Stegostoma tigrinum: one gene and its partner. The protein of the gene in region 2 interacts with the protein of the main gene of each other region in a pairwise test. Links are inferred from orthologs where the notes say so. Each region holds a gene or a part of one and is shown on either strand. Other genes may lie near its edges.

Evidence for each region. The genes of interacting proteins can lie anywhere in the genome.
Region 1: the proteins of sncaip (region 2) and NEDD8 ultimate buster 1 interact in a two-hybrid assay, tested with the Homo sapiens proteins (2 studies listed by BioGRID). The link is inferred for Stegostoma tigrinum from reciprocal best matches to the Homo sapiens genes SNCAIP and NUB1.

Annotation. Positions count from the first base shown.
Region 1 is NC_081355.1:147,142,039-147,149,768, forward strand, and holds the start of NEDD8 ultimate buster 1, read right to left. Parts: upstream 3,010-7,730; 5' UTR 2,665-3,009; coding exon 2,648-2,664; intron 1-2,647. UniProt on the Homo sapiens protein: Specific down-regulator of the NEDD8 conjugation system. Recruits NEDD8, UBD, and their conjugates to the proteasome for degradation. Isoform 1 promotes the degradation of NEDD8 more efficiently than isoform 2.
Region 2 is NC_081356.1:72,577,359-72,584,905, reverse strand, and holds the start of sncaip (synphilin-1), read left to right. Parts: upstream 1-4,540; 5' UTR 4,541-4,907; exon of another isoform or gene 4,908-5,053; intron 5,054-5,177; exon of another isoform or gene 5,178-5,413; intron 5,414-7,547. UniProt on the Homo sapiens protein: Isoform 2 inhibits the ubiquitin ligase activity of SIAH1 and inhibits proteasomal degradation of target proteins. Isoform 2 inhibits autoubiquitination and proteasomal degradation of SIAH1, and thereby increases cellular levels of SIAH.

The DNA.
Region 1 (7,730 bases), on a different chromosome or scaffold from region 2:
ATCTCACTGCTCTCATCCTCAAAAGCACCAACATGTTTTTGTCCAGTCCAATCAGACCAATTCCTTTCATAGGCCTGTATAAATTATCTTTGCCCAATACTAAAACTCTTGTATGTGACTCTATCTTCACACTTTGAATTAGAATTTGAAACTCCAGCATGTTGTAGTCACTCTTTCCAAGAGGATCCTTAACTACAAGTCCATTTAACAATCCTTCCTCGTAACATAACACCAAATCTAAAGTCAACACAACGTGGAGCTGGAGGAACAGAGCAGGCCAGGCAGCAGAGGAGCTGAAAAGTTGATGTTTCGGGTCAGGATCCTTCTTCAGAAATGGCCTGCTGTGTGCTTCCAGCTCCACACTGTGTTGTCTCTGACTCCAGCATCTGCAGTTCTTGCTATCACCAAATCTAAAGTAGCCAGTTCTCTGGTTGGCTCCATGACATGTTGCTCTAAGAAACAATTCCTCAGAGTGTATGTTTCTTCAAGGCTACTCTTGCTAAGTTGATTGGATTAATCCAGTCAGTATGCATGCTCAAATTACTCAATTATAGTTTATAACATTCTCACATGCCCTCATTATTTCCTGGTTTGTACTTTGCACTACTTCAGAAGAAAAGTTCACAGACTTGTAAAGTACTCCTACCAAGGGATTTCCTTCCCTTGCTTTTATTTCCACGTAGACTGATTCAACATTTTAGTCCCTGGTTCTGATATCATTTCTTAATACACCGTTGACGTCATCCTTAACCAAAACAACTCCACCTCCTGCTCCTTCTTGCCTATCCTTTAGGAATACTGTGTGCCCTTGGACATTTAACTCCCAGTTCTGAACTTCTTGTAATGACGTTTCAGTATCCCCACTAGTTCGTATCTATTTGTCACTATTTGTGCCATCAGTTCATTGACTTTCTTCCGAAGGTCCAACATTTTTAAGTTCTATGAATCTGTCTTTCTCTTAATATTTTCACATGCACTACACTTTCTACACTCCCCATCCTTATTTCTAAGTCTATGACAACACTAAGCCTCATCTCTATCATTTAGAGTTCTGGCTTTTATTTTCCAAAGTTTTCGAAGAAGTATTTAGATTTGAGTAGTGCTAAAATTTTAAACAGGTTTTTCACTTGAATTTGTATTCTTGAAATGTCTTAAAAATTTCAAGACAAAAAGCTTAAACAGGATGTGACTTTTTAAAGCAATACTCAACTTTCTACTATGAAACAACTATCTTTTGTACTTTAGATCAATTTTTATTTTCAAAACTATAATTTGTGTACTAGACACAGAAATAAATATTACATCATAAAATAACATTCAAAACCAGTCCTTTGTGCTGTACTTTCACTATTAAAACCTGGGGATTTCCAACTGCTAAAGGTCTGTACTATGATCTCATGCTTATGTTAAACAAAGTGCATTCAACAAAGTAATTCACCTAATCCAGCATTCCAGAATACACTCAAAGCTGTTCCAATCTGACATTAATTCACGATATTTATTGGATCAGAAACAAGAAGAAGCTGTTCCAATTGTTAACTAGGCAGAATACAAAACAGGAAATCTATAAAAAGAAAGCCCTTGATGCAATTTGTTTGGCGACTGTCACAGTGCTGTGGTTGATAATATTTTTATTTTAGTTTTATAGGAAAAAGAAGTAAACTTCAGGAAATCAGGGCGTATTCTCACTGTTGGGTATTTAAGATTTGTTGGCCTTGCTTTTAGATTCACTTAACTGCTCAAAGGCTGGAGTTTGCGTATTTTGAAACAATCTCTTGGCAGTGGTATCATAAGGGAACTATTCCCATCCATACCAGGACTTACCCTTTTCAGTGAGGATGACTAGGTCAGTAAGGAAATTTCTACTGCCCTCAGTCCCAAGAGAAGGAGTCATGTAGAGATTGACCAAGAGATTTCAAACTTTTCTTACTGTCTGCTGAAATGATCTCCTTAAAATAAACATCGGTAACAAAACTGGCATGGTCAGTTTGGAAGAATGCCAGACAAATCCTTAGCTTTCTACTTAAAGCCTCCAAATGTAATGTTCAATGTGTTACATCAGTAATAATGGATAATTTATTCAAATTAGAGCTTAAGCACATTAAATGATATGCTCTAGCAGACCTAAAATTACATTACTTGCTATCAAGCCAATGACTCTGGAGGTCAAGTGGTAAAAGATTGATGGCAGAAGATTCTTGATTTACAAAATATTATTTCAATTTTCTAGAATGGAAACATTTGGTTAGCTAATATGTTTCAGCAGCCTATAACTTTCTTCTCTATTAAATCAATCCCACGATCAACTCACATTTCATTTCCAAAAAGTTATTTCACATGCCCCCTACCTTAAAGTCACAACTCCAGCAGAACTAATCCCTATTGATGCTCAGGTGTCAGCGACTATCAAATTAAAGCCGGAAGCGTTGGAGAAACTCAGCAGACCTACCAGCATCTGGGGAATAGGAAAACAGTTACCGTTTCGAGTCCAAAGACTCTCAGAGAGTCTATCAATTTATATCAACAGCGTAACTTTCGAGTGATGTTGGGCATAGACAATTCACCATGGCCAAAAACTGAGGTATTAAATATTGAGCTAAAATATATTGAAATATTAAACCAAGTTTATATGCAGTACTGATCAGACCTCGGAAAACTCATCATTCAGTGCAATCGCCTCCCACAGCCAACAGACTGAAGAATTGGATGCCGTGAAAAGACAGGTGAGATTAAGGACACTTGCAGTGCAGCAGGTAGTGGGTTTCGGTTTGTTTGACCGGTCCTCCAGAGCACTTTGAGGAAGAAAGGCTTCAAGATGAAACTCGGCACCGTGCAGTCCGGAACGGATGTCGGAGCTTGAGGCGACAGGGAAGGAGAAGAGATGATTTGATGACAAAGATTAAAGATGGTAAGTCGGATAACTTGTCGCCCGACAAGAGCAAATGAGACCGGGTTAGTCAGCACTCCGCTGGCCACCAAACCAGGCCAGAGGGTGAAGCCGTTGCCAAGAATTCAAAGCTTCAGTCGGTGCGGATACACATTACCTGCTACCACTGTTGATATAAGCCGTTACAGGGGCGCTGGGCTTGAGTTATCCCACCGTTAGACCCGATTGAGTAGGCCTAAACTGCCAGCTGGACTGGGAAGGGGCTGTGGGAGATGATGCACCGACCTTTCCTTAACTTCCTCTCCCTCCTTTCTCTGTACTGGTTCCCTCAACAATTCACCTCACGGTTTTTGTTGTTATATTAATCACGTGATAGAGGTACGGGAGACGACTGGCGATTTCTTTTCATCGACCGGCATCGGGCATGACCTGACGTCACTACAAGAGGCGGAACATCTTTGATCCTTCCTCCGGCCCCGCCTCCTCAACCGGCCTCATTCCATCGTGAGATCCCACCCCGTCCCTTCCACTGACCCTACCCCGTTATGACATTTAGCTCCGCCCATTTCCCGGCTCCGCCCCTTACACTGGCCCCGCCCCATTCCGCTCCGCCCCCAAACCATCTCTTACGGCACCTCCCATTTAGATTAGATTCCCTACAGTGCGGAAACAGGCCCTTTGGCCCAACAAGTCCACACCACCCCTTGAAGCATCCCACCCAGCCCCATCCCCCTATAACCCACACACCCTTGAACACTACGGGCAATTTAGCATGGCTGATCCACCTAATCTGCACATCTTTGGACTGTGGGAGGAAACCCACGCAGACACGGGGAGAATGTGCAAACTCCACACAGACAGTCGCCCGAGGCAGGAATCGAACCCGGGTCCCTGGCGCTGTGAGGCTGCAGTGCTAACCACTGTGCCAGCGTGCTGCCACTGAAGCATTTAAACAGGGTTTAGGGTGGGCAATGTCGTTGTTAGTTTTTTTTCAGGTCTCTGTGAGATGTTAATGAGTTAACATCCCATGAACTTTTATGCTCCTTATCTCGTCATATAGGGGTATACACCCAAATAGGATTGGGTGTGAAACATCTGTAAACACAAAAAACATTAAGCTCTGTAATCTTTATGGCTCTGCCCATGCTGCCGCCTACCCCTGTTTCTGCTGAATTGGCCAGGTCAGTGACCTTTGATCAAGCCAGGCAGTTGTCACCACTTGAAATCACATCCTGCCGCTATCATACACTTGGTGCCGATCAAAGCTGTATCCTCTTCTCGTTATAGCAGCATGACCACATACTCGTGATGTTTCAGACGTACTAATTGTTTTATGTGTCTGCCAATTCCAAGGGTATAAAAGTGGGGACTGTCCCCTGTTTGGGGAGAATCGCTCATGATACTCAGCACTCTGTGCTGGGCTGTGTACAGCAATCCTCCGCAGCTTGTAATTACTTAATAATAAAAAACTAATAATAAAGAGATTTTGTAACCAGGTCAGTGTCTTGCTCTTGCATCAAGTCTGTGAGGGTCTCTGAAAAACAAAGCTAACATTTGGCCCAGCGAGTAGGTTTCCAACATGTACAGAGGTCTAACATGGAGGACTGAACAAGTGATCGTTTGAGTGTCAGTGGCATGAGCCAGGCCCACAAGGTATGATTCACCTTGGTCTCTCTCACTAACCTACCACTTCTGTGGCCCCTTTGTGGCTCTGTACTGACGGAACCCTGAGATGACTCATGGTCTTGTACACTGATTGAACCTATGCCTGGAGGTTAGAGTCACCAAGGCTATGATGAACTAATTCTGCGAGGTTAGAGTCCCCCGGTGACTGGGTTTCAAGTCCCCAGGTCAGTACAGATTGACAAACTAATTCTGGGAGGTTAGAGTTCCTCGGTGTCCAGGGGTGGGTCCCTAGGTCGGTATAGATTGCAGTTCGAGTCCTCCAGATTTTAGATGAGTTCTAAATATGTGAAGGTTATTTAACAATGGGTCAAACTTTGAATAGGTCAGGGGATAGAATCCATTATATAAAATGCATTGCGAAAACCCAAAGGACGAGGAGCGACTCAAGATGTTCATCAGGGAGCCTGAACAAAAAATTGGGAAAAAAGAATTGGCCATTAAAGGGAACGTGGGACGTTGATCAATATATTAAAGCCGGACAGGCCATTTGGAAATGTAATGCGGGAAGCAAATGGAAAGGTTTAATGTCATCCTGGAGAAAAAGAGCTGAGGAGCCGACTGAGAAAGCAAAACTGACCAGTTGGGTGGATAACATGTAGAAGAGGGATTAGCGCCTGTGATAATGAATGGAAACCAAAAACCTTTGAGGTTTTAAAGCTGCAGTTTCAGTGAGGATCATGAAATGAATGAAAGGGAAAGGGTTAAACAAGAAAAGCTGGAACGGGAAAGACGAAACAGAGAACAGGGATTAGAGTGACAGGCTGAATTGATGAAAAAGAGGAAATCGGAGATACTTCCTGACATATCTGACTTGCCGATGTTGTTCCAAACAACACAGACGAGCAAGAGGAGGAGTACTGGAGAAGGCACTCCTCTGCCCCACAGTGACCACTACCCCCTCCTCAACTCTACCTGTTTGGACTTTGTAGCTCTGGGATTAACTCCTTGTTCTTCAATTTCTGTTTTTGTATCTGAAACCACATGTACCCTATTAATAATGCAGTGTTAAGAAAAATAAAAGTTTGTTTCTAGAAAGAACGAAAATGAAGGCGAAGGTGAGCAGTCATCCCATGTCCACTGGCTAGAAGGATTCAGATGTGTCACTGACATGGCAAAACCTGCATCGAGTAAACCAACAAGGGCTCAAAGTCAGAGTGCAGTCTTCAGAAAACCAAAAAGGAGAAACAGGAAGACCTTGGGGAGTTCCCTAACATGTTAGCTGGATAACAGACGACTGCCTTTACAAACAAAACCCGCAAGAACTGCAGATGCTGTAAATCAAGAGCAAAACAGAAGTTCTTCGAACTTCTGGCTGGTTTCGATCAAGAATTATACACAAACACTTATATTCGATATAAAATCAAAACTTGCTGGCAAGAATCAGCAAGCCTGGCAGCATCTGTTGGGAGAAAGCTGAGTTAGTTTTGAGTCCAGTTTCATTTCATCAGAACTAAATGACATTCGATGTAACCGTCGTCAGGCAAGTTCAATATTTCGTTTTAATTTCACCGGAGTTTATTGTATTCGTACATTACCAGCATGTGCTCCTTCCTTTCTCATATTTACCAAATCCCCATCGTTCTACAGCGGCCCACCCCCTCACACTGATCATGCCCACTTAAGCATGACCACACCCACTTGACCAAGCCCACCTCCTCACACTGACCACACCTACTTCACCAATCTGGTCTGTCACAGTTCACCAGGTCCACTTAACCACGATGATGTGGAGATGCTGGTGTTGGATTGGGGCGTGCAAAGCCAGAACTCACATGACACCACATTATTGTCCAACAGTATTAAGTGTCAGTACTCAATGCCAACATCTGCCAATTTCCATACACCGTCCTACAACTCATCAGCTTTATTCTCGACCACAAAGCCTTCACATTCAACAACCAGTTCTTCATCCAGACACATGGAATACACGGGGACCAAATTTGCAATATGACAAAATTTTCATGCACAAGTTCGAGCAAGACTTGCTTGCCGTGCAGGACCTCCGATCAATGTTATACACCTGATACATCAATGACATTTTCTTCCTTCTTTTCTTCACTATAACAATTACATAGCAATATCAACAAGTTTCATCCCACAATCAGACTTACCATGGACTATTCAGAATCCATCTTATTCTTGGACACAAGCATCTCCATCAAGGTCAGACACCTCAGTACTTTAGTCTGCCACAAGCTTGTGGATAACCTCACAATGCTACACTTCTCTAGCTCAACCCTAAACGTAATACAGAAGCCATCACCTAAGGACAAGCAATATGTGGGAATATGTGCAAATATGTGGGAGATGTTCAGATGAGAAGGAAAGTTTTTGGTCTTAAAGATTCTCATAAGAAGGGGATACAATGCTTAACTCATCGATTGTCAGTTCCAAGGTGTGACAGCTAGAATCCACAACAACCTCATTGGACACAGGATATGACCAATAGAGCTTCGTCATCCAGTACAACCCCAGAGCGAAGAAACTGCGCCATGTTAGTTAACTTTCTGGCCAACAACCCCGGCCTGAGGGTGAAGCCATTGCTGAGAAGCTTCAGTTGATGCAGATCACCATTACTCTGGGCCACTGTCTTGTTGTCACATGTGACAGATGGAGTTTAATTTACATAAATGCGAGGTGTTGCAAACCAGCGCAGGACTTGCATAGTTAATAGTAGGGCCCTGGGGAGTACTGTTGAACAAAGACCCCTAGGAGGGCAGGTACATAACTCCTTGGAAGTGGCATCCTGGGTAGACAGGCCCATGAAGAAGACATTGTCACATTTGCCTTCATCAGTCAGAACTCTGAGTACAGGAATTGGAATATCATGTAACAATTGTACCAGACATTGGTAAGGCCTCATTTGCATTACCAGGTATAATTCTGATTTGGAAAGGGTAAAAAACATTTACAAGAATGTTACCAAGTCTGCAAGCATTCAAATTTAAGGAGAGGCTGCACAGGCTGAGACTGTTTTCCTTGGCGTATATGAGACTCAGGAGTGACCATGTAGTGATTTATAAAATCATTATGTGCACAGATAAGGTGAATAGCCAAGATCTTTTTCCCCAGGGTAAGGGAGTTCAAACTAGAGGACATAGTTTTGAGGTAAGAGGGGGAAGATTTAAAACAGACCCATGGGGCAATGTTTTCACAC
Region 2 (7,547 bases):
GCAGAATGAATTAATTAGGTAGGAGGTGAAATGTCATTTTCCTGACAGCAGGTTCAAATTTAGAGATTAACTCAACAGGATGTTTGTGGTGGATTGGGCCTCACACCATCCTGTGGCAGGTTCCTATTTGTGAGACTTTTGCACGCTAGGAATATTCATCGTCATTAAATCTTTTTAAAAATCATACCCCATTTTCATGTCAGCAATGTGCAAAATCATGTGGCAACAAATTTCCTTTGATATAACATGTCATGCAACTATCACCTTTGCGGAGTTGCCGGTTTCTTTGTTGATCTCTGTATCACATGGTGAGGAGTAAGCAAACAGCAGTTTGCACCTAATCTCAGGAACTGGAAGAGTGAGTCAATAGTGAAAGAGAGGCACATAGTAAAATTGAGGACAGGGAACAAAGAATCCAAGGACGATCAAACAGCAGAGTCGGAGGCTTGCAAGAATGAAGAAAATCCAGCATTTTGGTGTGGTGGAAAGTCAACCAATGTAAGAAAACGAGCTGCCTTGAGGGCAGTGTCAGAGTAAGTCCATCTCAGGGCACAAAGACAGTGCAAAGACAGGAGAATGATAAACAGTCTCATGTTTTGTACAAGATAATAAAATGTGGGGCTGGATGAACACAGCAGGCCAAGCAGCATCTCAGGAGCACAAAAGCTGACGTTTCGGGCCTAGACCCTTCATCACTGCTGTGTTCATCCAGCCCCACATTTTATTATCTTGGAATCTCCAGCATCTGCAGTTCCCATTATCTCATGTTTTGTACAGGTTCTTTTACAGTTTCACCAATACCTGCTACATTGCCAGCTGATCACATGCTCACCACTGAAATCCTTTCCCTATCTTAGGACTGCATGTGCCTCCCCATACATGTCTGTGGCATTTTAAATGATTCAGCATAAAATTCCAATGGCAGAATGGAAACAGAAAGCTGATGAGACCCTGGAGAAAATGGCAAGTTAAGTGATGGTGCACATTGAAGCTATTTTCAGTGGGGTTCTGCAGGACTCAGTTCAGCTTAAAGGTAGGGGCATGATCTAAAAGGTTTCAAGTGAAATGAAAATTGATTCTGTGGTTGATAGTGAGAAAGGAAACTGGAAGTAAAATATCAATGGACAGTATAAATGTGCAGTAAAATGGCAAAGAAATTCAATACAGAAAATTGTGAAGTAATGTATTTGGAAAGGACAAACACAGCAAAGTAATTAATAAATGGTAGGATTCTTGGAGGTACAGAGGATCTTCGGAGTCTATATCTATAGATCCCTGGAGGAAGCAGGGCAGACAAGCAAGGCAGTTAAGAAGGCATGGAAGAAACTTTCTTTTACTGGTTGAGGCCTAGATCAGGGATCTGAATCCTATAGTTCTGGAAACCTGGCAGCTCTTTAGCATCTTATTTACATCTCCCAATCTTTTCAATCTGGATTGTATTAACATGAAGAGCCCAAAAAACATTCAGTCAAAAAGAGTAGAGCTGTGTTTTATTGTGGGGTGAAAAAACTAATCATTATACTGCACGTCTCCATTTAAATGATCATTTTAACGAGAAAACATCATTATGCTTAAATAAGCCTGTCTGAGTGGTATAGCTATACCATGGTTATAAATTATGCCTTTGGTTTGGAGAAGAGGTTTTCAGTTTGTAATTTCTTTTTAAATAGCTTGAATGATAAATTATAACGAATATGCTATTAGAGGCTTTTCTTAACCATGTGACTCAGCTGAAAACACTGTTAATTTTATGTAGTTCAAGTTAATGCTCTTCTAAAGTTGACTCTACTGGTAAAACAGTAAAATAAAAACATAATTCAGAGTGAGGTCAATATTTATTTGATGTTTTTATATTGATACATAAACTCAACCCATGTATTTTATCATCGTAAGCATTTTACCAGAAATACTTGGCAAAATGTTAAGCATTTAGTTTAGAAATAATGATTTTTTCATTTTGCAACTCACAATAACTTTTATTTAGAATTTTGTTTTGAAGAAGGATCTTCCAGTAAAAACAGTTGCCAACCCAATAAGCAGGATGTTTAGGTTAGAGCCGTATAAAACACCAATCAGACCACAGTTAAAGTACTATGGATGGTTCTGGTAATTGCACTATAGGAAGGGTATGATACCATCCTACTGTATGCAGAAGACAATGAGTTTGAGCAGTAAGGAGATTGAATAGGCTATAGTTGTTTGATTTGGAAGGAGCTTGAAGGACAAGTTAATTTACATGTTGGAAGTTATGAGGGGAGTCTAGACAACCTGCATAAAATTAACATATTTCCCATTCAAAGCTCCATAGTGAGAGCACATGGATTTAAAACTATTTGATTCAAAGGTTCCAGGTGAGTTTATGTGTAATCTTTTTCACTGAGGTGGTAGTGTGGACTTGCAAATCTCTGCAAAACCCTAACGCTGCATTTTAAAAATATTTGGCAATGCATTTGAGGTGTTATAACCTACTGGGGCTGCAGCCCAAGAAATGGAAGATGGGATTATATTTGATAACATTTTCCTGCCAGCATGGAGCCAGTGGGTTGAATCACATATTTTGTCATTTTACTTGCAAATTCTTTGTTTTGAATTCCCTCCATCTAGAAAATAAGCTAGAGCATTGTTAGTTTTTTATGGTCTTGTTAACTGGTGTAGCTACTTTCTACATCTGTAAACCTTAGATCTCTTTGGTCTTCTACTCGAGTTGGATACTTATTTTCGAAAATGTATGTGCTCTTATTCCAATTATCAAAGTATACATCTCATAATCATCTATATTGAAGTTGATGTACCAACATTTTTCTTCAAATACACATTAAGTTGACTAAGCTCTTCAAACTGGTGTTGCATTCTTTAGGTTTGCATGCATGTTCTAGTTCTGTCAAGCGTTTTGAGAAATGTTCAGTATTAAAGGTAATATAAATGGATATTGTTATCACATTTATTATTAGATTTTAAGCCATACACTTTTGATTTTATTAATATTAAGTAAATAAACTCCATCCAGTTCAATAGCATGACCAAGATCACTGATGTTTTAAAATAGAAAAACTGATGGAAATTTTTAACTTTAATGAGAAAACATTAAAGAAAGCTTCCAAAACCCTTAAATATAAACAAAATTTGACTTATTTAGTCAACATAAACCAATGTCTCTAATTGCAAACAGAATGCAGTCTCCCTAGCTTAACTAAAAATCCTAGAAGTACGTGCAATAAAAATAAAATTTGAACTATTCAGTTAATCATAAATCAGCACTCCTGGTCAGGATTTACAGTTCCAGAGAGAAAACACAGACATGCAAACACAGCTGAATAGAAGAAAATGAATTTTTTTTTATTATTAGTCTAGTATTCATAACCTAACCATAATTCCAGCATTCATCATATTAACATCATTTAGGCGCTCATTTTAATATACACCTGAAAGCAAATATTTTTATTAAACCAAATAAAACTTTAAAATCAAATTCCCAAAAGTAATTGTGTTGCACTTGATTATTCTTTATTGTGATAAACAAATTTCAAAACATTGTACAAAGTTGTTTCTGAAAAATACACTCCATCAAACAATACATACACAGATTTGATAAAGGTGAGCAAACTCATTAAAGGTTATAATTGAATGAAAAGAAGCTGGTTCCAGCGCCAAAACAATCAGTTGCTGGAGGGAACAGATTTAAACGTGACTGACACAAGAACACAAAGTAAGGCGATACAACATTGTTTTTACGCAGCAAGTTTCTATCTAGTATGAACTACCTGAAAAGGTGTTGCAAATTGTTTCAATAAGGACATTCATAAATAATTGACAAAAAATGGAAAGAAAACATGTTCATAAGATAGAGCGAGGGGGGATGTTGTGGGAGATTAACGTAGTTGATGAATTTCTCAATTAAAGAGCTGCAACTGGCATTATGGGCCGAATGGCTACGCACAACGAAACTACAAATCTCAATGATCAGCTTCCTGGAGCACTGGTTCTCCAGATTAGTCAGTTAATGCCATTTTCAGTGATACACCCTAAACGAAGCACACGGGACTTCAGAGATAACGGGAACTGCAGATGCTGGAGAATTCCAAGACAATAAAATGTGAGGCTGGATGAACACAGCAGGCCAAGCAGCATCTCAGGAGCATTCCTGAGATGCTGCTTGGCCTGCTGTGTTCACACGGTTTTTTGGATGTTGATCCTCATTAGAAGGGGAGTACAGGGTGAAAATAATCATCCATTTACCGGGTCCTTGACTACTGTGGGTTCAGCTGCCCTTAGAACAAAAATCTAGAAGTCTTAACACCGTCTCCTCTTGTGCCCCATGCGCTGCCCAAGAGAGTGAAGAGCCAGTATTGCTCCCTGTCATGGCCGTGGCCAGCTCCCCCCACCCTGCTGTGTTACTGCCTCCAATGCAGCCAGCCCAGCGGTCTTCCCAAATCAAAATTCCGAGCTCAACGAGGCCGCCAGTAGGGCCCCATGTACAAAATCGGGCAAGTTTCCAGAGGTGGGAGGGGAGGGAGGGAATGGCTTACCCACATCTCCAGGAACAGTCACGAACGATCCGCTACACCGCTCCTGCCTCTATCCGGGCCTGTGCATCCTGCTCATGTGTATCGGAGCTCTTTGGAAAAAAAACACAACCGAAAAGACAGGCAAGAAACAATGATTTCTCAGAACCTGCCTGCTGCTGGGCATGAAATCACCCGCCTCTGCAAAGAAGTTTTGCCGATCGAGAAGCGGCATAGCTGCAAACTCTCCGCTTGACTGGAGGAAATCTTGGTTGGGCTGGCACGAGAGGTTGGGGCGGGGCTCGACTCTGGGAGGGGGCCGGTGGAATCGCGAGCGCAGCGCGCGGTGGGAAACAGAAATCTCCAGGACGAACGATAACGGCTAACAGCTCACCTGCGGTGGCGGTAAGGATTCAACCTCATTCCGTTGGCGAGATGACAGAAAGAACCCGTTTGAAGTTCGAACACGGGTTCGGATTCTCTCCTTTCCATGATTGGAACTGTTTACCGTTAGGAACGACGGAGATAATCGATTCCGAACTTCAAACAAAGGAGCGGGGGCGGGATCTGTCACGCTGCCCTGGTCGCTTTTTGTGTGGCCATTGGCTAGCAGCCGGCGGTCTCGGTCACTGATTGGCTGATTGGCCTGTCAATCGACCGGAGGTCGGTGTTGAGGTGGTTGAGCGTGAAGAGTACGCGGCTGTACATGGACTGGTCAATACTTATGAATAAGCTCCATGATAGAAGCAGTGGGCGAATGCGGAACGGGAGGCTCTAGTTGGCGGCAGGTTTGGGTGTACGCTCGGGGTTGGGGAACAGGGCCGGTTTGCTCAATAACCTGTCACCACCTCGCTCCCGGGGCGCTGGCACTGTGCTGGGAGGGCAACACTCGATCCTGGGGGTCCGTGGAGGTGAGTGGCTGCTGTTCTTTCATAATGTAGCCAGGTCCTGCCCAGATGGGAAACAGGCGCGGGTGGGCGAAGCAGGATTGATCGGAATTCGTGAACTGCAGGCTGGATCGACTGTGAAGAGGATTGGAAAAGACCCTTCGCAGTTCTGTTTCACCTGGTGTCTGAGATTCTCTCTCTGCGGAAAGCAAATGTACATTGAGACACTGGTCACTTATGTTGATTGCCCTGTGCAAAATCTGCTGGACTCAAGTGAGGAAGAGTGCACGAAACATATGCACTTCTATATTTACATACTGTGTGTTAGTATCCTCAGTATACAACCAACTGTTTAGATAAGGGGACCAGATAATACAAGTAGGATTTGTAATCCTGTGATTGAGAGTATCAGAGGCTATTATTGCAGCGTTAACATTGGGCGAAAGAAGTGAAGCAATATCAGTAAACTTGGGTAGGCAGGACAATTATAGTTTGAGTAAATCTAAGAGATACAGAAAAGAAAATGGTTTTCATTTGCACGCGAGTAAGGCCGTAAACATGCGATTATACTGGGTTCCCAGGCAAGATGTGCTAAATATAAAAATCAAAATGTAGTTTGAACGTATATAAAACTTCAGCAAGATTACATTTGGACTATGTGTACTATTTCGAGTTCTATAGATAGTAAAATGATATGGTGATAATGATTGTGTGGCACAGATTCACTAAGATTCTGCCTGGTATCAGCATGTACAAATTCAAAAGAAAAGTAAAGCAAAATACTGTGCAGGCTAGAGAAAGGGGAGCTGTATTAACATTTGGATTGATGGCTGTTCTGAAAGGTCACTGGCCTGAAATATTAGCTCTTTCTTCCTTACACATCTATTATTTGACCCTATGTTTGTGTTCTGTTTAAGAGTTGGAACCGTTTTCATTAGAAAGGAACATTAAAGGGTATTTAGAGCAGTGTTTAAAATTATGAATGAATCTGACAGGGTAGATTTGTTTTTATGTTTTGACAGGTGTAGAGTTACAGGAAATAGACTAAATGCACAGAATTATTTTGGACATGGTTGTGAAGTTTTGAAACATGTTTAACAATTGAACCAATAAAAATGAAAGCTAAAAGCCGGTTAAGTATATGAACAAAACTAAGTGATATGGGAAATGGGTGGACTACGATTTATACAGAGAGTGAATGTCAACATAGATGGGCTAAATGGTTCTATTTTTGTTACAAATTCTACGTGACTTCATACAAAGCAAATGCAAATTAATTTCACACATGGTAATATTCTACAAACAGCAGAGATAAAATACTAGTTAATTGATTTTGGTGGATGGGCAAATTGCTGAATGAATTACTTTTAACAAGCACCTTTTGCAAGTATAAGATGTTCCAGCATATTTCAGAGTCAACAAAGTAGTTTTTAAGGTGCAATGGAGTATTTTACTTTCAATCAGATTAATTCTAATGTGTAATTCAAAAGGTGGCATTTCTCTTGATATACTACACCTTCAATATTACCCTAAACTATAACATAAGTTATTTGAAAATCATATTGTGGCAGTATATTATTTCACAAGGTGTGCTTCTGCAATATTGTGAGAAAAGAGACACTATCAGTTTGTCATTCACCAGCATTACAACCTTATTTTTGTTCAATTAATGCACCCAGACTAAAAATGTGGAGTTTGATTAACAATAAAAGAACATAGCATAGTTACGTTAGTAATTAGGGCATGTAGATATTGGGTGAAATGTATAATAGATGATAATAAGAACAAAGATAACAAAGTGTGAAGCTGGATGAACACAGCAGGCCAAGCAGCATCTTAGGAGCACAAAAGCTGACGTTTCAGGCTCTGAAGGGTCTAGGCCCGAAACATCAGCTTTTGTGCTCCTGAGATGCTGCTTGGCTTGCTGTGTTCATCCAGCTTCACATTTTGTTATCTTGGATTCTCCAGCATCTGCAATTCCCATCATCTCTGATCACAATAATAAGAGCAGAGTAAGTTATGGATTAAGTTGTTTGGATTTCCCGTAAGGTAGAAATAATCATACTTTAGACTTAAAGTAATGAAACTTCATCAAGTGTATACCTTGCATCTATTTCCATGTGACTGGTAAATAAGTATTGTTAATTGGCACATAATT